Arabidopsis thaliana: one gene and its partners. The protein of the gene in region 1 binds, or shares a complex with, the protein of each later gene. Each region holds a gene or a part of one and is shown on either strand. Other genes may lie near its edges. The genes, in order: NYC1, PPH, HCAR and ACD2.

Region 1 (5,097 bases):
TAGACCAACTGCACCACACAACAACATAGATGTGTATCTTGCACCTATTATAGATGATCTAAATGGTGTGTGGAAAGAATGTATAGAGGTTTATGATTCTTATATGAAGGAGAATTGCACACTTAGAACTATATTGTTGTGGGCTATTAGTGATTATCTTGCCTTAGGAACACTGGTTAGATGTATGGTTAAAGGGAAATAGGAGTGTAACATATCTGGTAAGGACACACCAACATGCATGTTTTATTTTGCTTTAGTCAAATTTTGACAACACGACTACTGGAAGTGCACAGTTAATCGTCTGTAGTATAATGGGCTTTCTAAACCCATTCCAACTCTCATTTAGTATGATATTGTCCTCTTTGGGCTTATATGCTCAAGCCCGCAAGGATTTGTTATTGGGTTCCTTCCCAAAAGGTCTCATACTAGTTGGAGTTGGACTTGGCTTATATATTAGAAACTCTTTTTCTAAACTTTCGATGTGGGACCTTTGGTTTGTACCCAACAATCTCCCCTTCAAACCAAAGACCACGAACTTGGACCTCCTTCTTGAGGCACCTTCTTATCGTGTCATGTTTGAGAGATTTTCCCACATCGATCATAGCCCAAGCCCTAGGTCCAGTGTTTCAACCTGGCTCTGATACCATTTAATGGGCTTTCAAAGCCCATTCCAACTCTCATTTAGTATGATATTGTCCTCTTTGGGCTTATATGCTCAAGCCCACAAAGATTTGTTATTGGGTTCCTTCCCAAAAGGCCTCATACTAGTTGGAGTTGGACTTGGCTTATATATTAGAAACTCTTTTTCTAAACTTTCGATGTGGGACCTTTGGTTTGTATCCAACATAGTATTTATGGATCGAATTCCATTGGAAGAGAAGTAATTCAAACAAGTCTGTCAGAAGAGAGTAAAACTAGGACAAATCAATAAAAGAGGGGGAAAGGGTTGTTATTGTGTCACAGTTGTAAGTAAGTGAAGCAAGTAAATAGTAAGTGATCAATAAGAGACAAAAGTTGGACATTCAAGGGATCGTAGGGGTTCAATGATCTTCATGATCTAATCATGTTTATTTCCATGTTTTCGAGCATATAAAACACATAAAATTCAGCTACTGAGGAAAAATATATAAACGCATATATACATATGTACACGTCCACATACTTTCACGTTTAGGTTTTCGTTATTAGGGAAGTTGGACTTTTAATAGGTTTACTGATATTTGGGTCTCACGTAAAGCAGACCGGCTCTTTGGAGGTGCATGAGGCGCATTTGTTCTAGATCCAAATTTTTTTTGGTAAATTTAAGGATCTGATTAGTATGGAAAAGACCTACAATTTTTTTTTTTTTAGTATGAAAATGTCAATTTTAATGTGTTTTTAAAAAATTAGCATAAAAAGGGTCCAAATTTTTGTTTTATAGTTTAGAAAAAGATTAATTTTTAAAATTTGTACAGGGACTATAAATTTATTGAGTTGGTAGAGACAAAAAGCTTAAAGTTTACACAAAGGAGAAAATTATCATAAACACAAACATTATCAACTTTTCTTTGTTTGATATTAAATTTTTAATTTATAATTTTTTATTGTTCTAAAATAATATAAATAAGTAAGTGGTAGTTTGACAATAATCTCTATCATCTACTCAAATGTGACAATGGATACTACAATAATTTACTCAGGTACATAAGTAATGACGAAGTCTGAGTAAAATGTAATTTGAAATCAAATTTTGGCTTTCTAGAAGCAAAACTGAATCAAAATTTTGTTCATGTGAACCAAAATCTAAAGTAGCTCCCAAAGAGAGAAAAAAATATCTTGAAAACATGCGAAGGGACAAAAGAAACACAAAATGACACGTGTCAATGTTAGGCTAACGAGATGAGGTTGCTGTAACGTGTGGCCATCACACTTCTCTTCCTTCTTTCTTTCCCTCACCTCTTTCTTTCTTCGTCCTAATCTCCTTCTTCTTCCTCCGATCACTCTATTTAACGTCTTCGACGAATCCGAAGCTGAAAAATATCTAACAATCTATCTTTTGGGTCCCTAAAAAAGCTCCTTCGTTTATCTTGTTTTCTAAGTTATCTTTTTGTATGAGTTTCAAAGCTTATCATTATCTCACTCTTCTTCCATAGCTATGACTACTTTAACGAAGATTCAAGTGTACCCACAAGTCTTGGAGCACCGTCTCTTCTTCAGAGATCCGATACGGGTCGGGTCAAGATTGACTTGTAGAGAACGTAGTAATAGGGTTTATGTGCATCGGTGTGAGAAAAAAGTTGAAAGAAAGAGAAAAGTTGAGAAATTTAAGGGAAATGGGTCGTGGGATTCTTTGAAATCTGGGTTTTTAGGGTTTAGTAAATTAGGGTTCTTGTCTAAAGATGAGTATAATCAGAAAGTTGAAAACTTGGAGATGGTTTTCTCTTCGGTTAGTCTTAAAGTTTCCTCTTTTTTTCTTAATGAAATTTTCAATCTTTTTGCTTTGATTAGCTTAATTTTTATGTGTTTGTGATTTTGTAGGTTGCTGTTCAAATTGCGAGATACATTGTGACGATGACAAGTACTGGAGCTATTCTTTTGATTGGGTTTCAATTATCAGGTTAGTGCAAAAACTATTGTAGAAGAGTTTTTTTATTGGTAATTTTGTTTGACTGAGATTTTGAGTGTATGTATTTGTGATGAAAGGTGGAGATAGTTCGATGAACTCATTGGTTTGGTATAGTTGGCTTGGTGGAATTATCATTGGAACCATGACTGGTGCTAACATGGTTTTGGAAGATCATTATCGAGCCGGTCCACGGAATGTTGTTATAACCGGAAGGTACCTTCTTTACTTTTGTTTTTGCATTTTTTGATTTTTGTTTCTTTGTGTTTTGGTTTGATGCTGATGTATGTTTTTATGCTGTGTTTTAGCACTAGGGGACTAGGGAAAGCTCTTGCTAGAGAGTTTCTTCTCTCTGGAGACAGAGTCATTGTCACATCTCGCAGGTTGATAAATTGTATATATGGAATTATGGATTAGTTTTTATCAAGCAATGAAGTCTTAATATGATTTGTTTTTTGGTTTTTGTTTGTGAAATCAGTTCTGAATCTGTTGATATGACTGTCAAAGAGCTAGAGCAAAATCTCAAAGAGATTATGAGTAACGCTAGCGAGTCAGCTAGAAAGAAACTGAGTGATGCTAAGGTAGTTGGTATTGCCTGTGATGTTTGCAAACCCGAAGACGTTGAGAAGCTGTCGAATTTCGCTGTAAAAGAGCTTGGTTCCATCAACATATGGGTAAAGAAACATATTTCTTTTTGTACAGTTTGTAACTTTTTTTGTATCTTTAGTCATATGTTTGCTCACTGTCTATATTCATTTGGATAGATAAACAATGCTGGTACTAACAAAGGTTTTAGACCGCTACTCGAGTTCACGGAAGAAGATATCACACAGGTAAAATCCTTTTTGAACCTAAAGCTTAATTTCAGCTTGAGCTTATGGTGAAGTTCATTAGTCTAATTGTAACTATTATTTTGTAGATTGTCTCCACAAATTTGATTGGATCAATTCTATGTACACGAGGGGCTATGGATGTGATGAGCAGACAGCACAGTGGTGGACACATCTTTAACATGGATGGTGCTGGCTCTGGAGGTTCAAGTACTCCTCTCACTGCCGTGTAAGAACTCAAATCATTCGTTACTAGTCTCTAATGAATTAGAACACATTTCTGAGTCTGTGAGCTTTCGCAGATATGGTTCAACAAAATGTGGACTTAGGCAGTTTCATGGGTCTATAGTGAAAGAAAGCCAAAAAACAAACGTTGGCCTTCACACTGCATCCCCTGGCATGGTTCTGACAGAACTTCTTCTCAGGTATGCATACACTTTGTCACTAAGGCCTAGAACAGAATGCTCCGGAGTTTTATTGAAGCAACCATTTATTTGGCAGTGGTTCGAGCATTAAAAACAAGCAGATGTTTAACATAATCTGTGAGCTTCCTGAGACAGTAGCTAGAACTTTGGTACCACGAATGCGAGTTGTGAAAGGTTCGGGAAAAGCCGTCAATTACCTAACTCCTCCTCGGATATTGTTAGCTATTGTCACTTCCTGGCTAAGGAGAGGCCGATGGTTTGATGACCAAGTAAGTGTTACACTTGAGTTCTAGTTCAAGTTTTTTGACAAATCCTTCACTTGGTTAAGCCTGAGCTGACGCAAAGATGTGTACGTGTTTGCAGGGACGGGCGTTATATGCAGCAGAAGCAGATAGACTAAGGAACTGGGCAGAGAACAGGACGAGGTTGTCGTTAACAGACGCGATGGAGATGTATACAGAGAATACTTGGGTCTCTGTTTTCTCTCTTTCTGTTGTTTGCGCTTTCATCATCTTACAAAGCACAACACCTAGCTCTTTTCCAGGCACATAACAAACATCTTCCTCGGATGTGTTTTAAGAAAATTGTAAACGTACATGTTATGTATAAAAAACATATATATAACAGAACCGATTTGTTCATGTAAACACTTCTTATAGTTGTAGAATGTGTCGTTGTTGAAAACAATGAAAAAATAGATTGTAATAAACTTTTATCAGATTGTAGTATTTTCTAGTTTTCACTAGTTGGGCCTTTAAAGGCCCATTAAGCGGAGTTAAAAAAACACAGCTCCAATAACATTGCATCAATAAAAAAAGTGGAGGGCCATCAGATAGGAGCGAAAGACTGTGCTACTGAATAGTAATCATGGAGATCATTTGAACTATGCATTATTAATCATCACTTGACCCTTTTTTCCAAATAAACAAAAACAAACCAAAGATTGTTTGGCCTCATAGAGAAGATTAGATTTTATCAACAAGGATTAATTCAGACATATGCTTGTCTATTTTTTTGATTAAATCATTGGCCAAAAAAATCGATTAGAAGAAAGATTGAAAAACAAAAGTCAAAAAGTAGGACTCAGAATATGGGTGGTGATATAACAGAATGGTCGGCAAATAGGCTTTTTACGGCCGTTTTTACGACGAACGAGACCTTAAATATCAATCGTCACTGTCCGGAAGAAAAAAAAAAACAATTTTGTAATACGACAATAACAAAAGTAAGGGTTGGAGAA
Region 2 (5,048 bases), on another chromosome or scaffold:
TCCATGGAGACGTCGCGCTCATCGATCCAAACCCGAAACCCTCTAAATATCATTCTGACAGCATAGCAATCCTCATACGTCCGTCTAATCCCTCTCAAGCTAGTAAAATACACCACAATCCTGTCCTCTGTCCCGGGAAGACGGATGACCGAGTTGTTTAAGCTCGAAAAAGGCGATATCCGCGATTCGGGTAAAAGGGATTTACCGGATTTCTGCTTCTGAGGAATCTCAGCTAAGGCAGGTTTAACGGGTTTGGAAGTCTCGAATAATCTACAAAGGTTTTTGACTTTGCCTTTAAGAGAAGTTCCCATCGATTCTACGGGGGTGTAGAATTTGGTAATGGAGGTGGTACGATTGAGAGAAGGATTGAGATTGTGGGATTTGGGGCCCGAATCCACCACTGTTCTTCCGTGAATTGTAAGCGACCTGTTGAAGAACGACGTCGTTGTAGCCGATTTCGTCGTCTTCCCTGAGAAATCAGCGTTTTTCTCTAATCCCGCCATCGAAATTAGATCAAAGAAGCACCCCTTTCGACGGCTAATTTGGTGTAAAACCTAAAATAGTCAACAAAATCAAAACCCTAGGATCAAATTCAAGCAAATTGACGAATACAGAAAGAGAAATTGAAAAACATAAATTGAATAATCGTCGATCACCTCCCAAGGAAGAAATGGAAATTGGAATGATTGGAAAAGAATCAGCTTCTCTGATTTGAGTCGTAAAACGATCGGGTGCTGCGTTTTTGAGCTGATGAATTCTCACCTAAGATTAAAGAAGACGAGATTGATGAAAGAATGATCTGATTTTTCTGGAAATTTGGGGGTTTGTTTGTGTTTTGGAAGAAGATGTGGAGGAGAGCTCCGAATTAGCCTTTTGTCTGTCTGCCTTTGTTGCAAAGCAAAGAATTTTTCTGTTTTTTTTTTAAAGATATAATTATTATGTCTAAGTTATTAAAGGCTCTTTAATGATATATTTACTCGATGCTCCTTCGAGGAAAAACGAATTTGAAAAAATAACAAAAGTGGGATTAAATTGCGAGGAAAAGTCGTTTACTGGTAAAACGCGGTTGTCTTATTAAGAAAGGTTATGGTTACAGCGAAACCAGTTTCTACGGTCGGTTTATTGCTATTGATTCTACGCTCGGTTTAGAGATAGTTGTCTGTATTCTAATTGAAGAGTAGTGTATTTCGCTTTCTAGTCTTCGACCATTAGGATTTTTAGTTCACACAAGATCAATTCTCTAACATTTAAAATCAACTAGAAAACTCAAATAACACCGTTAAAATAGTGATTAAACCATTCAAAAATTAAACGGGTTTTATATTGTTTGATATGAAAACTGCAGGTTTTTCGATTGTTTTTTTTGTTTTCCGATTGTTACACAATGGAAAAGAAGATCAAAAATCAATTGTTTTTAAAAAAAATATTATTCTGTCATATTTTTGCAACAAACATGTGTTTTTGCAATGTTACATCGGTGTCAAATTAGCAATGTCAGATCCAAAACAAAATGTCATATTGTGAAAAAAATAACCCTACACTTAATAATACAGTATGAATTTTGGATCCTTTAAGAAAAAATAAAAACTCGATAAAAACGTTGCTGTCGGTTTGCACCGAACGATTGAAGTTAACCAAGCCAGCAAGCAACCCAATTCTTCTATTTCTTCTTCACCTTTAGATTTTTCCTCGCTTAATTTCTCAATAACGCTCTCAGAGAGACCATTTGATGAAGCTTCTCGCTTCTGGAATTTGAAAAGGTACAAGTTGCAACTCTCTCTTTTCTTTCTTTTCTTCCTGGGTTTATTATATAGCTGGAGTTCTTTGTCGATGAATCGGGTGGTGTTGTTGTTGTTTGGTTTCAATTTGATAGAAGATTGGCTTGACCTTGATTTGCTTTGTTTTGATTAGGATTTGATAAGACGAGTTCATAGAAGATTACCGCAAGTTCATCAACTTTTTGTATGTGGTTTCAGCTTTTGAAGCAAAATTCTGATAACTATACAAAGATTCCAGCTTCATATGTGATTTTCCTTGTTATTCTTAGCTTTGCTATGAAGTTGAGATATATGAGTGGAAAATTCGTATTAAAGGATATGCCTTTTGGTTGTTCATTTGCAGGAACTTGTTATGGAGATAATCTCACTGAACGTTGTGCCCCAGTGCTCTGTGGTTACTTGGAGTAGTAAATTAGCAACGAAAAGATTGGTCCCAAATCGGTCAAGTTTGTTATTCTCAGGGGTCAAAAAATCCAGACTTGTGATTCGAAGTGGAAATTCCGATGGTTATGTTGTTGGTGAGAATGATGACTTGGGTCGTATAGCCAGAAGAGGAGAATCAACGTCAAAGGTTTTGATTCCTGGTTTGCCTGATGAATCAAATGGTGAAATTGCTGCTCGAATCAGTCATTCTCACTGCGAGTGGAAGCCCAAGCTTAGAGTACATTATGAGAAAGCCGGTTGTGACAATCTCGATGCTCCTGCGGTGTTGTTTCTTCCTGGCTTTGGCGTTGGTTCATTTCACTATGAGAAGCAGCTTACCGATTTGGGAAGGGATTATCGAGTATGGGCTATTGATTTTCTTGGACAGGGTTTATCTCTCCCTACTGAAGATCCTACTACCATGACTGAAGAAACCAGTTCCTCGGAAGATAAGGAACCATTTTGGGGATTTGGTGACAAAACTGAACCGTGGGCTGATCAACTTGTATTCTCTCTGGATCTCTGGAGGGATCAAGTTCAGTATTTTGTAGAAGAGGTTAGCAATATCTGAGTTCAGTTGTTCTATTACTCTTTAAGCTGTTGATTTTGTTCTTTTAGTCGTAATTTCAAAAGCAGTGTGTTAGCTTTTTTTTTTTAGTGTAGATTGTTGCTATGTGTCGTATACTCATGGATTTCAATAGTTTTCAGCTCAGAACCTGAAAGTGTGGGTATGGAGTCTTCTGGTGTTGCTTTGGGAATGGGAAAGTTTAGGATGCACTAGATATTAGAATTCATCTCTGTTCTTTGATTCCGTTTGTGTTCTAGTTTGAGATCACGATCTTTTTCATCTGAAATAAGCTGCTGAGTCGGTAAGAGTATGTGGTATTTGTGTTGTACAGGTTATCGGTGAGCCTGTGTACATTGCAGGGAACTCACTTGGAGGGTATGTAGCTCTCTACTTTGCAGCAACCCATCCTCACCTGGTTAAGGGTGTTACCTTGCTTAATGCAACACCTTTCTGGGGTTTCTTCCCTAATCCAGTAAGATCCCCAAAGCTAGCACGTCTCTTTCCATGGCCCGGAGCATTCCCTCTGCCGGAAAGAGTGAAAAAAATCACAGAATTGGTGTAAGGGAGACTTTATTAACACATCTCCTCACCTGAAAAGTATCATTTTCTATTTCTATCTCTATCAGTCTAATATCTTTACTTCCCAATGAAACTGCAGGTGGCAAAAGATAAGTGATCCTGAAAGCATAGCTGAGATACTTAAACAGGTCTACACAGACCATTCTATCAATGTGGATAAAGTATTCTCACGTATTGTGGAGGTCACACAGCATCCGGCTGCTGCAGCATCGTTTGCTTCAATCATGCTTGCTCCTGGTGGAGAGCTATCTTTCTCCGAAGCTTTATCTAGGTATAAGACAGTGTGGTTTCTTGTTTTTATATGTTTTTTACTCTGCGTGATTGGTGTTATTGCTTATGAGGAATGCTGCTATTTGATGGTTTATGCTAGGTGTAAGGAAAACAATGTTCAGATATGTCTCATGTATGGAAGAGAAGATCCATGGGTGAGACCGTTATGGGGAAAGAAGATAAAGAAGGAAATCCCCAACGCTCCATACTACGAGATCAGCCCAGCGGGTCACTGCCCACACGATGAAGTCCCTGAGGTATAATGAACTAGTCAATAAATTCTTCAAACTCTGCAATTAGGTATAATGAACCCACCATTTGGGATATGAAAACGAGCAGGTGGTGAACTATCTGATGCGCGGGTGGATCAAGCACCTGGAGTCTGGTGGTTTTGAAGCGCTCCCGCTTTTGGAGGACACTGAAGAAGATTGGGAGGAGTCCAGGATTGGTAGAGAAATTGAGTTCCCGAGAGATGGTTGGAAAAAAGCAGTGAATCTGTGGTTATATGGGTCAAACTATACGTACTGGAGAGGAGTTAGAGAATCTTTCAGATCCAGTTTTATAAGGGTGTTTGGAGGGAAGTCTGCATAGAAGAAGCATGGAACAGTCGTCTAGTGTAAATTAATTGTAATCTATGTTGCATCCGATGCTAGCTATATAATGTTGTCTGTAGAATCAAGTTTCTAAAATGTTCAAAAGGAAAAGTTAGAAAAATATCTACTTGATAGTTAGTCACCTAAATCGAAGGAACTCCTTTCTTGCATTGTTGTATATAATCCACAGGTTCAGATTAATATAGGAAGGCGACATTGCAGGCCATATGAGTTGTCTTAAAAATTGGAAGAGAGCTTGAAATTACTCTGATTCCAAAAGAAGAAAGTGAGTGTATTTGAATTGTTAATAATTTCCAAAGGTGAACAGTTTTATTGAACATGTATGGTGTTTGAAAAGACGTATCATTGGTTACTTTTCTCGAGGCAAAGTCGTATCCTTGACCATATTCTTCCCTTAGCTTGAATCTCATTTTTGTCAGTTCCACGGTCAACAAATAAGGGACTGAATTAGAAGGCTATCCAAACCACTTTTGAGAAACTTACTTACACAGGCTATATATCCAACATGAGATTTGGTCTGCTTCTTTTCTTAATTTGTTTCTTAGTCTCTGATAAAATCTCGTTATCTATTTATTGATTTGAGTGTCAAAAAAAAAAAACCGGTGTTACAAAGCTGCTACTAAAGTGTCGTTCTACACTAGTTGTAAGAAATTACTTCTCAGTATGTTTTTTTATCTCTCACTAGTTGATAACATAATGGTAACCATCAAACAATGCTAGTTGTTGCAATTTTATTCTTGGGGGTACTTTGAAATTGTTTCTAATTGTTGCTCTGAACTTTTTTTTATTTTTATGTCGGTCAACATTGTTGGTCTG
Region 3 (6,887 bases), on another chromosome or scaffold:
AACTCCAAGCTTTAGTCATGGCCATGCAACATTGTTGGAGTAGGGGCTATAGGAAAATTTACTTTGAAGGTGACAATAAAGAAGTCTCAGAGATTGTCAATGGTCGGTCTTCAAATTTTGCAGTTTTTAATTGGATAAGAGATATAAGCGCTTGGAGATCAAAATTTGAAGAATGCAAGTTTACTTGGACAAGGCGATTTTCAAACATGGCTGCAGATGCTCTGGCAAAACAACAACTTCCTTTGAACACTCAGTTTTATTGCTATAACTATATCCCGTTTGTAATAACTGATTTTTTACATCGCGACTTTGCTACAGCAAATTATTAATAAAGCTGATGTTTGAGGAAAAAAAAAAAAACTACAAGATCAAACCCTAGTTCCTCCGATGAAATTGCGGTTAGAAAACTAAATATTGATTGACCTAATTCAAAGAGACCTTTTTTGTGCAGAAACTAAATATTAAAAATCCAAGGTTCCAAGAGATCAAATAGGAATTTAAGCGAGAAGCAACATACCTGAGTCTCGTGACAACGGCGCGTGGTTTGCGTCAATACTTGGGACTCTCGGTGAGATCCGCCATGATTTGCTAGAGAGATCGTGAAACGCAAGAAAACAGAGAGACAAACGGTGGCGAGATCATTGATGGTGTGATCACCGAGTTACAGTTCCGACGGTTCTGACGGTGGTGAAAATGGATGGTGATCATCGAGCTTTGACGTTCTCGTGATCGGTGAGTTCTTTTTGTAAGAGAGGAACAGAAACAAACAGAGGCTAAAAAGACAAAAGAAGAAGAAGAAGGTGGATTTTTTGTTTTCTTCTCGTAATCCATGCTTTGGACCTTGTATCAGCCACTTATGATCATTTGCTATATTGATGCTTTCCAATTTTAGAGTATTGAAATGGGTTTCTTTGACAATCATTTTGAGTTAGTCATCATTCCTTGTTCTGAATCAAGAATTGGCTTTTGTTATGTTGTCTAGGTTCTGCTTGTAACTAGAGTAATGCTATTGTAGTCTCTGTTGTTTATTTGTAGAATCATAGAGAGTCGTGGAAGCATGTTTTAGTTGTTACTCTCGATTTCTTGTCGATGTTGTGGTGTTATAAATTGAGCGTTTTAACCAATACAAGTTAGGAGATGGTTAGTATGTGACTATGTGTTAGTGGCCATGTATGTAGTTCGATCAGATAATCTGAATGATGTGCTAAAGAGCTTGCATAGGAAGACTGCCTTTGTGTTAGCTTGCATAGAGACTTGTTGCAATATATGAGACTGAAAACTATTATGTGAAAACTTTAATTTGTGTACAAATATTTTTAACTCTTAAAATTAAACTAACATTGTACCAATTAGCACATGAAAGAAACACAGAATTCTGTGAACATATGATGAATAACTATATAAACACATTATGGATTCAGTTAAGGAGACAGAAACAAGAAGATGAATTTCAGATATATAGCAATAGAGTCACTTATAATCATATCAGAGCTTATACTTTATACAAATTATCACTTTAGTCCTTAAATTAAAACCGATTTAATCGACAATCTTGTTATTCTTTAAAACAATTTGTTCTTATTTTCAATCTTTAAATTTTGCAACAATCGACAGAACTTATCGTTATTCCGTGTTTTTATTTTCATATCTTTCTTAAAATGTTTCAAAATAATATATGTTTAATATTTTCTGATTTACAATAGTTATTAAGTTATATGAAATATAATTATTTTAAATTTTATTTTATTTTTCAGAAAACTCTTATAAGAGAGCTTACCATTAGAATATGAAAAAAAATTAAAACTCTCTTATAACTTTTTAAAAATTTTAATAATAAAAAAATGGAGAAAGCCCGTGAAAGAGCTCTTACGAACCAAAACCATTCAGTCCGGTTAAGAATTGGTTATCAAGTTTGGTTCCTAAAAGATATCCAAGTTCAAAAGCAAAAAAATATCTTCTTTTCTCTCTCTCTACTCTCTTCTCTTCTTCTCTTCTTCTCTTCTTCTCTGGCTGGGCAACCATGATTACTGTCGTCACCTCCAGGCTCTCTCTCCTTCCTCCAGTCTTCTCCGTCGTTAACTCTTCTTCTTCGCGTTCCAAAGGTGCTCAATTTATTTCTGCCACGTCTTCTCTTTATAGCACTCTGTTTTACACACGTCGTTGATTCTTCAGTTTTTTAAAAGACCCGTCTTATACAAAATTTCAGTGTAACCGATCCCTGAAATTCGTTAAAGGGATGAAATTTTATCTAAGATTCGGAGTTTTCTTTTCGAACATAGTGGTAATGTTTGTCGAATGCTTGATTTGGTCTTCCACAGCTGTCACTATCGAGTTTGAAGATAGAAATCTTGTGTTAACTTAGTATGTATTACTGCATAATGTCAATTCTGTTTGAAAGCATCAGAATTTCGGAACAGATTTTTGTTTCGTATAGCATCGATCTTTGTCTTGTGTGTTTTTATCTTCTCTCTGAAGCCTGCATGAACCCTTCTCTTATGGCTTTAATTGCAGATATGAATCTAGAGCCAAAAAAGAAGGTTAAATTAAGAGAAGACTGGAGAGAAAAGTCCAGACCTATCCCACCCGGAGGAACCTATCCAGCTAAAGACCATTGCAGGTTTTTTCTTTCTTTTTTGTTTGTTTGTTTGTTTACCTCACTATTTTTGTCTCATTCTTATCAAGATCCTTGGTGTTCTGATGGGTTTGCAGTCAGTGCGGGCTATGCGACACCTACTACATTGCCCATGTGAAGGAGGCATGTGCATTTCTTGGAGATGGAATGTCAAGGATTGAGGTAATGTCCATATAAATGGATAAGATTTGATACTCTTTTTAATTGATGGGCTAAGATTCTTATTTTGTTAATATTTTAAGTTCTTGTGCAGAGCTTGGAACCTGTTGTGCATGGTAGAGGAAGGAAAGCAGATTCCTTACAAGATACATATTTTGGGGTGCATCAAGAGCAGCTCTATGCTCGTAAGTTGAAGCCTGTCGAAGGTAAATAGACACTTCCCTTCCACTGTTCCACATTTTCTACTAACTTCTTTTCCTGGCTCAATCTAAGCTAGGGCACTTTTGTGTCTCGTTCAAGATGAATTTAGCTTAGCTTTGTTGTTTACTTTTCATTCTATTTTCGGTTGCAGGAGCTCAGTGGACTGGAATTGTCACAACCATAGCCATTGAGATGCTGAAATCTAATATGGTTGAAGCTGTCGTTTGTGTGCAGAGGTAAAACTACTGTTGAATTTCAGAAATGGACTAGGCTTACATTTATCGACCATGCTGTAGATTTTTCCATCTATCCATGTAACTGATTTATTGAAATATTACAGTGATCCTGAAGACAGATTATCTCCAAGACCAGTATTAGCCAGGTTTTCCACCTTCCTAATGTGGTTTATTTTGAGTCCATTCTTCTTCAAGTCGCCATTTTTTAGATGTGGATCCATATTTTGCTGTTACTCTGGATATAGAAGCGTATTGATGTTTCATTTCTTTTCATTCTAAGGACACCTGAAGAAGTTTTGGCTGCAAGAGGTGTCAAGCCAACTCTGTCTCCTAATCTGAATACTCTTGAATTAATCGAGGTTATTTGCCAAACCCTTATTTCTTGTTTGTGTTTTCAATCACTGAATCCATTTCACATGAACTTAGAATTTGTATTGTAACAGGCTTCCGGAGTGAAGCGTCTTCTGTTTTGCGGTGTGGGTTGCCAAGTGCAAGGTATGGGCTCAACATACTTTTTTGTGGACGTATATTTCAAGTTTCTCCATATCGTGACTCTCATAGTATTGTAATGCAGAGTGATTTCTTATACTGCAGCATTGAGATCAGTGGAGCAGCATCTGAATCTGGAAAAGTTGTATGTACTAGGCACCAATTGTGGTATTTTCCTCATCCTATCTAGATTTGTTTTTTCTCCAGAACTTTCACAACTAGTTCTTGTGTTGTACTTTTGAACATTCCATGTTGTATATGTTATTTCGGAGTCTTGTATGCTTAGGTCTAGAAATGCTTATACATTTTTAAACAAGTAAAAAGAACATCTTTGATTAATAGTGGACAACGGAACACGAGATGGACTAGACAAGTTTCTGAAAGCAGCTAGTAAAGAGCCAGAGACTGTTCTCCATTATGAATTTATGCAAGATTACAAGGTTAGCATTAATACAAAACCATCACTTATCTGTGCATTTTCTTTGGTGATGCCAATCTTGTTCAATTTCTCTTATAGGTCCAACTCAAACACTTGGATGGACACATTGAAGAGGTAAATTCGCTTAAAATACTGTGTTGCTCTGCAATTGCAGCTGAAAGCCGTTTTTAAAAAACTTTTTTTGGCTAAAGCAGGTTCCCTATTTCTCTCTACCTGCAAACGATTTAGTAGATGTCATAGCTCCATCGTGTTACAGGTAATACAAGTCTCTGCATTGTCTCTATACCTTGAAATAGATAACCTGTCGGAAATTTTTAAAACTTGTCTACAATTACAAACCCTATCTTTTTTATTCTGCAGCTGCTTTGATTACACAAATGCATTAGCGGTGAGTGTTTCTCTAGCAATTAAGATGTCTTTTCACTTAATTTTGATTCTGCCAATTTCAAACATTTCCTGATATGTATGAGCTTGTTTATCTAGGATTTGGTTATCGGTTACATGGGTGTTCCGAAGTATTCAGGTCTGAACATGACTGACCATCCACAGTATATTACAGTGAGGTCAATATTTCTACGTATTTTGACATGGACCATATAGGTTCTCGTGGTTGGATAAAATTAGTTTTGTTTATGCCTTAAACCACAGAAATGAACGTGGGAAAGAAATGCTCAGCTTGGTAGAAAACCTTTTGGAGATCACTCCAACAATCAGCAGCGTAAAGTTTCTAACATTTATATTTGTTGTTATATTTAAGACTTTAAGAGTCCACTTAACAAATAACATGAACAAACACACCTTTTGTTGTTGTTTCAGGGTGATCGGCGACCTTTTGTGACAGAAACTGTTAAGGCAGACGATGCTGCTAAGTTTGGTATGTTTTCAAACGTATTCGAAACTCTTTTGTTTCTTGAATCGTCTCTGCTTAAAGACATTCAGTTTCAAGCAAAGCTAGATGCCAAAAAGAAAGTTCTCAGCAAATGCATGCAACTAACATTGTGCTAAAGTCTTCTAACTAGTCTATAATTTCTTAGGTCAAGGTCCTGCTCAGCCAGCGCCACTATTTGTTGGAAACATTATTGCGTTCATCCTAAATTTGGTAAGATTATTTCCTTATGAACACAAACCGAGAAACAAGCTCATTGCATAAAAAGTCAAAGAGTTTCTTAACTTGCAAAACCATTCTTGCTTCAGGTTGGTCCTAAGGGTCTAGAATTTGCTCGGTACTCGTTGGACTACCATACCATCAGAAACTATTTGTACGTAAACCGCAAATGGGGAAAGCAAAGGTAAGATCTGAAACACACTCCTAGAGATAAAAGTTTATTGCGATCAACTGTGTATTTCTATACTATTGGATCGTTCTCTAATGACCAAAGCTGCATTACCATCTACAGAGCAAACACCCACATGCCATCATATGCCAAAAAGATAGTGGAAATGTACAACAAAAACGGCCAAATAGATAAAATGCTCTCCAAGAAATGAACATTTTAGGCCTTTCTCATGTAAGTTTCCAAATGTATATTTCATCCTACAAGTGAGTAAATGTACATTGGTCCTACTGTTTCTCAACTTGTAGTATGTTAGTAATATCCAAAACTATTTCCCTCGTGAATTTGGTAAGACACCGGCAAGAAAAGATGGGTCGGTTTGGTGTTTTTTGGCAGAGAACAGAGAATAAGAAACAGTCTAAATCAGCGGCTGAATCCAAATCAACCCATGTGGGTTCCTTCCTCCATATCTTTAGGTTAAGGTGATGTCCGAGTAAAAGGTTGCAGGGTTTTGCATGAGAACATGAATAACTGTTTTAAGAGGATGGGAACCAGACATTTACACAGTTGGGGGGAATTAGCTTTTAATGTCTTTTTTTTGCTTGGACAAAGAAGAAGGAACCATGGTTAAGCTTCACTCGCTCGCTCACTCACTCACTCACTCACTAACTTACTCATCACCATATTTCACACATTGGAAACTTCAAATTTTACTCTCTCTCTTTTTTTCTTTTTTTGTCTTTTTGTTAGTCAAGTCTCTGCTCTGCTCGTTCAATGACTTTGCTGCAGAGACTCTCAGACCTCAAGTGAAACTCATAAATGTCTCTGCTCTTTTGCACCATAGTTGATTTTTTCTCACCAGAGGCATTGTCCTAATACAGAGCATGTAAACGTTTTTTCTAATAATATATTTAAGTGAAATAAAGCTTACTTTGGTACCTTGAATTAATTTTGAGTTGCAATTTGACATATAACAATGTTAGAGAATTCATTTACGTATTGCATATTTTGGATCTGTATCTGTATCTGTTTCAGTATATATATATTTATAACTAGATCCAACATCATATATAATATATGATTTCACTCAAGTTTTTCTGAGAAAGTTGTATAATGTTATATTTATTATCCATCTGTGTTTCAAATTAGATACATTGTTCATCCCTAATGGATTTTGCATATCCTACAGAAATGCATGTTTCAGTATTTTCAACTTGTGTTCCCTGGAGGTTGTAATCCATGAAACAACTTTAATATGGACTGTCCAAGACAATCATGTGTAAATCAATCATTTGCCAAATATAATGATTACAAAATGGCTAATAATTCCTTAATCAGTTAAATAACAGCTCTAACTTGTGAGAGTATTCTTCCAATAATGAAACAGCATGAAATTAGTTGTTTCTTTTCCTGATCAACAACATCATCATAGAGATAACACAACATGCATCGTTGAG
Region 4 (3,947 bases), 9.8 Mb from region 1:
CATTCGTCAGCTCAACACTTACGTGAGTTTCACTCTAACGAAAACTCATTTACTCTCAATTTAATGCTTCATTTAATTCGTTTGGTGAATTGAATCATTCTTTTGTAGTTGGTTAGCCAATTTCGTAATTTTCTCATAATTTGGGGGTTGGTGAGAAAACCTTCTAGAAGCTGAGAATGTTCTTGTTCTTTTTTTTTTTTTTTTTTTGGTTTAGGGATTTCGTAAAACTGTACCGGATAAATGGGAATTTGCAAACGATTATTTCCGGAGAGGCGGGGAGGATCTGTTGACGGACATACGACGGCGTAAATCGGTGATTGCTTCAACGGCGGGGAAATGTGTTGTTGTTGGTTCGCCTTCTGAGTCTAATTCTGGTGGTGGTGATGATCACGGTTCAAGCTCCACGTCATCACCCGGTTCGTCGAAGAATCCTGGTTCGGTGGAGAACATGGTTGCTGATTTATCAGGAGAGAACGAGAAGCTTAAACGTGAAAACAATAACTTGAGCTCGGAGCTCGCGGCGGCGAAGAAGCAGCGCGATGAGCTAGTGACGTTCTTGACGGGTCATCTGAAAGTAAGACCGGAACAAATCGATAAAATGATCAAAGGAGGGAAATTTAAACCGGTGGAGTCTGACGAAGAGAGTGAGTGCGAAGGTTGCGACGGCGGCGGAGGAGCAGAGGAGGGGGTAGGTGAAGGATTGAAATTGTTTGGGGTGTGGTTGAAAGGAGAGAGAAAAAAGAGGGACCGGGATGAAAAGAATTATGTGGTGAGTGGGTCCCGTATGACGGAAATAAAGAACGTGGACTTTCACGCGCCGTTGTGGAAAAGCAGCAAAGTCTGCAACTAAAAAAAGAGTAGAAGACTGTTCAAACCAGCGTGTGACACGTCATCGACGACGACGAAAAAAATGATTTAAAAAACTATTTTTTTCCGTAAGGAAGAAAAGTTATTTTTATGTTTTAAAAAGGTGAAGAAGGTCCAGAAGGATCAACGCAAATATATAAATGGATTTTCATGTATTATATAATTTAATTAGTGTATTAAGAAAATAAAACAGATGTTGAAGTTTTATTGTTGCTTAATTTATGTCTTCATAATGTAAAAAAGCATGTGAAATACTTGGTCTAAGGTCATCTACTTAGTTGAAAACTTGTGAAAGAGGAAGAAATTTTACTTTTATGTTTGATTGATTTTCTTTGCAAGTAGTAGTAGGTGGTTTCCGTGTTTTTACGTAATCCGTTGAATATTTTTCCCTCGAAATTGTCTTTATAAAAGTCACAGAAACATTTTCTAGAACTCTTTATCAGGAAAATAAAAATAAAGATGTCTTCAAGGAATCGAAAAAATACAGCAATATACTAAATAGAAAATGCTATGAAATTAAATAAAAATTTAGTAAGGTTCCAAAGACACTACTTAACTAGAGAGAAAAATAATTCCAACTAGCTCTACAACAAACAAATCATTTACTTGTTTAAGAATCGAAAAATTTAGAAATTTATTCTTATTATTTGTTTGCCCAATTAAGTCGCTCTTGGCCCAATACTTGCATCACTTGATTGAGTAGAAGAAGATCACTTACCAACTCTCAAACCATTTAAAAATTAAAAAGCATAGTTTATTTTATTTAAATATGTGTATGTAATAATTCACCACAAGAAATATATTACAAACCACAAAACTATAATCCCGGTAAAATAGTAATTAATTTCTTCAAAAGTGTAAATAAAAAAGAAGAGACATAATTTAGTCATAGCCACATAAAAAATGGCGATGATATTTTGCAACACTCTCTACTCTTCTTCTTCTCCATCATATCTCTCGCCGTTAACTTCAAAACCGTCGCGATTCTCAAAGAATCTCAGACCTCGAGCTCAATTCCAGTCCATGGAAGACCACGACGATCACCTCCGCCGAAAATTTATGGAGTTCCCGTATGTGTCACCCACGCGGAAGCAGCTCATGGTTGATCTCATGTCGACGGTGGAGAATCGCCTCCAATCACAACTCCTTCCCTGTAACCTCCCTCCAGATGTACGAAACTTCAATAACCCTAACGGTTCCGCCGAAGCATCTCTTCATATCAGATCCGGCGACAAATCTTCTCCGGTACTTGCGACGATTAACTCTGTTTTTCAGTTATGAGATCGAAATTGACTGTTTTGCATGCTTGTTTTAGAGCTCAATTGCTTGATTTTAAGTAGAAACAGACTTCAATTTCGATGTAAATCATAACCCTAAAAAAAAACTTTTTAGAGAATCTTAAAGTTTGTTTTGTTTTGCAGATTGATTTTGTTATAGGAAGTTGGATACATTGCAAGATCCCAACAGGAGTATCTTTGAATATAACAAGCATCTCTGGATTCTTAAACTCATCAACAAAAGCTCCAAACTTTGTGGTCGAACTAATACAGAGCAGTTCCAAGTCGCTTGTGCTAATCCTTGACCTCCCACATCGTAAAGATCTTGTTCTTAACCCGGATTATCTCAAGGAGTATTACCAAGACACTGCTCTTGATTCTCATCGACAATCTCTCCTTAAGCTACCTGAAGTTAACCCTTATGTGTCTCCTTCTCTCTTTGTCCGTTCTGCTTTCTCTCCTACTGCTTCGATGCTTAAGATTGATGCGGAGGAAGAGGATAAGTTGGAGGAGATATTGAGAGATCATGTTAGTCCAGCTGCTAAGGAGGTTCTCGAGGTTTGGTTGGAGCGGTGTGTGAAGGAAGAAGAAGAGAAGATTGTGGTTGGGGAAGAAGAGAGAATGGAGTTGGAGAGAAGAGATAAAAGCTTTAGAAGGAAGAGCATAGAGGACGATTTGGATTTGCAGTTTCCGAGAATGTTTGGTGAAGAAGTTTCCTCCCGTGTTGTACACGCTATTAAAGAAGCTTTCGGTGTTCTCTAGATTATGTAACTATATATATACATCAGTTAATGTTCATTGTACTAAACATTTACTTTCATCAATGTCACAAGAACGCAAGATGACCATCAAACAAGTCCTGTTTTCTCCTAAGAACGTCTTTGTTGTGAATCATCTCTGAATCGGATTCCTTCTGATTCATTTTAATACTATGGGATTGTAAATTTATCAATCAAGTTTCTAATTTATCTGTAAAAAAAAGTCTTGAATTATTGTTTTTCTCATGGATTTTAAAGTTTTTTTTTCACTATTTTACATGGATGTTTTGTTAAATTTCTCGTTCTCTAGATCATGTCATTTTACATTAGCAAAACCAATATAATATATAGATTAATATTAACGAAGGAACATAAACGTGCAAAACTAAAAGTTTTAAAGCTAAATCGCTTTCAAAAGAGTTAGTAACCAGACAAAAAAGAGACAGATCATCGGCAACTAATCTCGTCATCGCATGCATCATAAACCAAATTAACTAAATCATCCATTTAATCCATTTGTTCTTATCAGATCATCCTTTTCCTTCCTACACAAGAAATGGTTAGTGTTTTCTTTTCTCGATTGTCTCTTAGTTTAGATTCTTTATCCGACTACTTTGTTCATCGGTTTTGTTTTTCTTTTTGTCTTCCGGAAGGCGAATTACATGTCGGAAGCAGCACAGCTCAGAAGAGGTCTAAAGCCTAAAGGGAAGACTTATGGGTTGACCAATCAGAAGAGACGAGAGATCAGAGAGATCTTTGATCTTTTCGACATAGACGGTTCAGGTAAACTATTAAACCGATTCTTTATCCGATTTACAAAGTTATTGCTCACATGATTTAGTGCATCATTTCATATGTAGGTAGCATCGATGCTAGCGAGCTCAACGTTGCTATGAGGTCAACGGCAATTTTTCTTTCTTTTTCAAAGTTATTTTCTTCAAGTTCTAGTTAAGTATAGTACTAAAAAATTATCAGCTGATTACAGGTCTCTTGGATTTGAGATGAATAATCAGGTTTGTTTGTTTTCCTTCCTTTTTTCTTCTTT

Evidence for each region.
Region 2: NYC1 (region 1) and PPH share a complex: the UniProt entries of both Arabidopsis thaliana proteins name them as parts of the SGR1-CCE-LHCII complex.
Region 3: NYC1 (region 1) and HCAR share a complex: the UniProt entries of both Arabidopsis thaliana proteins name them as parts of the SGR1-CCE-LHCII complex.
Region 4: NYC1 (region 1) and ACD2 share a complex: the UniProt entries of both Arabidopsis thaliana proteins name them as parts of the SGR1-CCE-LHCII complex.

The regions. Positions count from the first base shown.
Region 1 is NC_003075.7:7,683,729-7,688,825, reverse strand, and holds NYC1 (NAD(P)-binding Rossmann-fold superfamily protein), read left to right. Parts: upstream 1-1,819; 5' UTR 1,820-2,134; coding exon 2,135-2,425; intron 2,426-2,517; coding exon 2,518-2,596; intron 2,597-2,682; coding exon 2,683-2,818; intron 2,819-2,910; coding exon 2,911-2,985; intron 2,986-3,080; coding exon 3,081-3,276; intron 3,277-3,366; coding exon 3,367-3,435; intron 3,436-3,521; coding exon 3,522-3,661; intron 3,662-3,734; coding exon 3,735-3,857; intron 3,858-3,933; coding exon 3,934-4,126; intron 4,127-4,220; coding exon 4,221-4,409; 3' UTR 4,410-4,592; downstream 4,593-5,097. UniProt on the Arabidopsis thaliana protein: Involved in chlorophyll b degradation. Belongs to the chlorophyll catabolic enzymes (CCEs).
Region 2 is NC_003076.8:4,451,224-4,456,271, reverse strand, and holds PPH (pheophytinase), read left to right. Parts: upstream 1-1,563; 5' UTR 1,564-1,760; intron 1,761-1,911; 5' UTR 1,912-1,964; coding exon 1,965-2,024; intron 2,025-2,121; coding exon 2,122-2,757; intron 2,758-3,100; coding exon 3,101-3,327; intron 3,328-3,427; coding exon 3,428-3,619; intron 3,620-3,718; coding exon 3,719-3,875; coding exon of another isoform or gene 3,876-3,881; exon of another isoform or gene 3,882-3,957; coding exon 3,958-4,209; 3' UTR 4,210-4,537; downstream 4,538-5,048. Other genes in the region: AT5G13810 (Glutaredoxin family protein), read right to left, coding at 1-503. UniProt on the Arabidopsis thaliana protein: Alpha/beta hydrolase dephytylating specifically the Mg-free chlorophyll pigment (pheophytin), yielding pheophorbide. No activity on chlorophyll. Belongs to the chlorophyll catabolic enzymes (CCEs).
Region 3 is NC_003070.9:1,281,626-1,288,512, reverse strand, and holds HCAR (coenzyme F420 hydrogenase family / dehydrogenase, beta subunit family), read left to right. Parts: upstream 1-1,893; 5' UTR 1,894-2,020; coding exon 2,021-2,102; intron 2,103-2,511; coding exon 2,512-2,617; intron 2,618-2,709; coding exon 2,710-2,794; intron 2,795-2,885; coding exon 2,886-2,997; intron 2,998-3,143; coding exon 3,144-3,228; intron 3,229-3,332; coding exon 3,333-3,374; intron 3,375-3,508; coding exon 3,509-3,587; intron 3,588-3,671; coding exon 3,672-3,723; intron 3,724-3,822; coding exon 3,823-3,885; intron 3,886-4,059; coding exon 4,060-4,157; intron 4,158-4,234; coding exon 4,235-4,270; intron 4,271-4,350; coding exon 4,351-4,412; intron 4,413-4,516; coding exon 4,517-4,544; intron 4,545-4,639; coding exon 4,640-4,719; intron 4,720-4,804; coding exon 4,805-4,874; intron 4,875-4,972; coding exon 4,973-5,030; intron 5,031-5,190; coding exon 5,191-5,255; intron 5,256-5,350; coding exon 5,351-5,445; intron 5,446-5,553; coding exon 5,554-5,644; 3' UTR 5,645-6,350; and 1 more. Other genes in the region: AT1G04625 (Polynucleotidyl transferase, ribonuclease H-like superfamily protein), read left to right, coding at 1-281, 593-682. UniProt on the Arabidopsis thaliana protein: Probable iron-sulfur flavoprotein that converts 7-hydroxymethyl chlorophyll a to chlorophyll a using ferredoxin as a reducing equivalent. Catalyzes the reduction of a hydroxymethyl group to a methyl group. Belongs to the chlorophyll catabolic enzymes (CCEs).
Region 4 is NC_003075.7:17,440,857-17,444,803, forward strand, and holds ACD2 (accelerated cell death 2 (ACD2)), read left to right. Parts: upstream 1-1,755; 5' UTR 1,756-1,770; coding exon 1,771-2,112; intron 2,113-2,288; coding exon 2,289-2,906; 3' UTR 2,907-3,439; downstream 3,440-3,947. Other genes in the region: HSF4 (heat shock factor 4), read left to right, coding at 1-22, 215-850; CEN2 (centrin 2), read left to right, coding at 3,459-3,461, 3,556-3,685, 3,763-3,799, 3,888-3,915. UniProt on the Arabidopsis thaliana protein: Catalyzes the key reaction of chlorophyll catabolism, porphyrin macrocycle cleavage of pheophorbide a (pheide a) to a primary fluorescent catabolite (pFCC).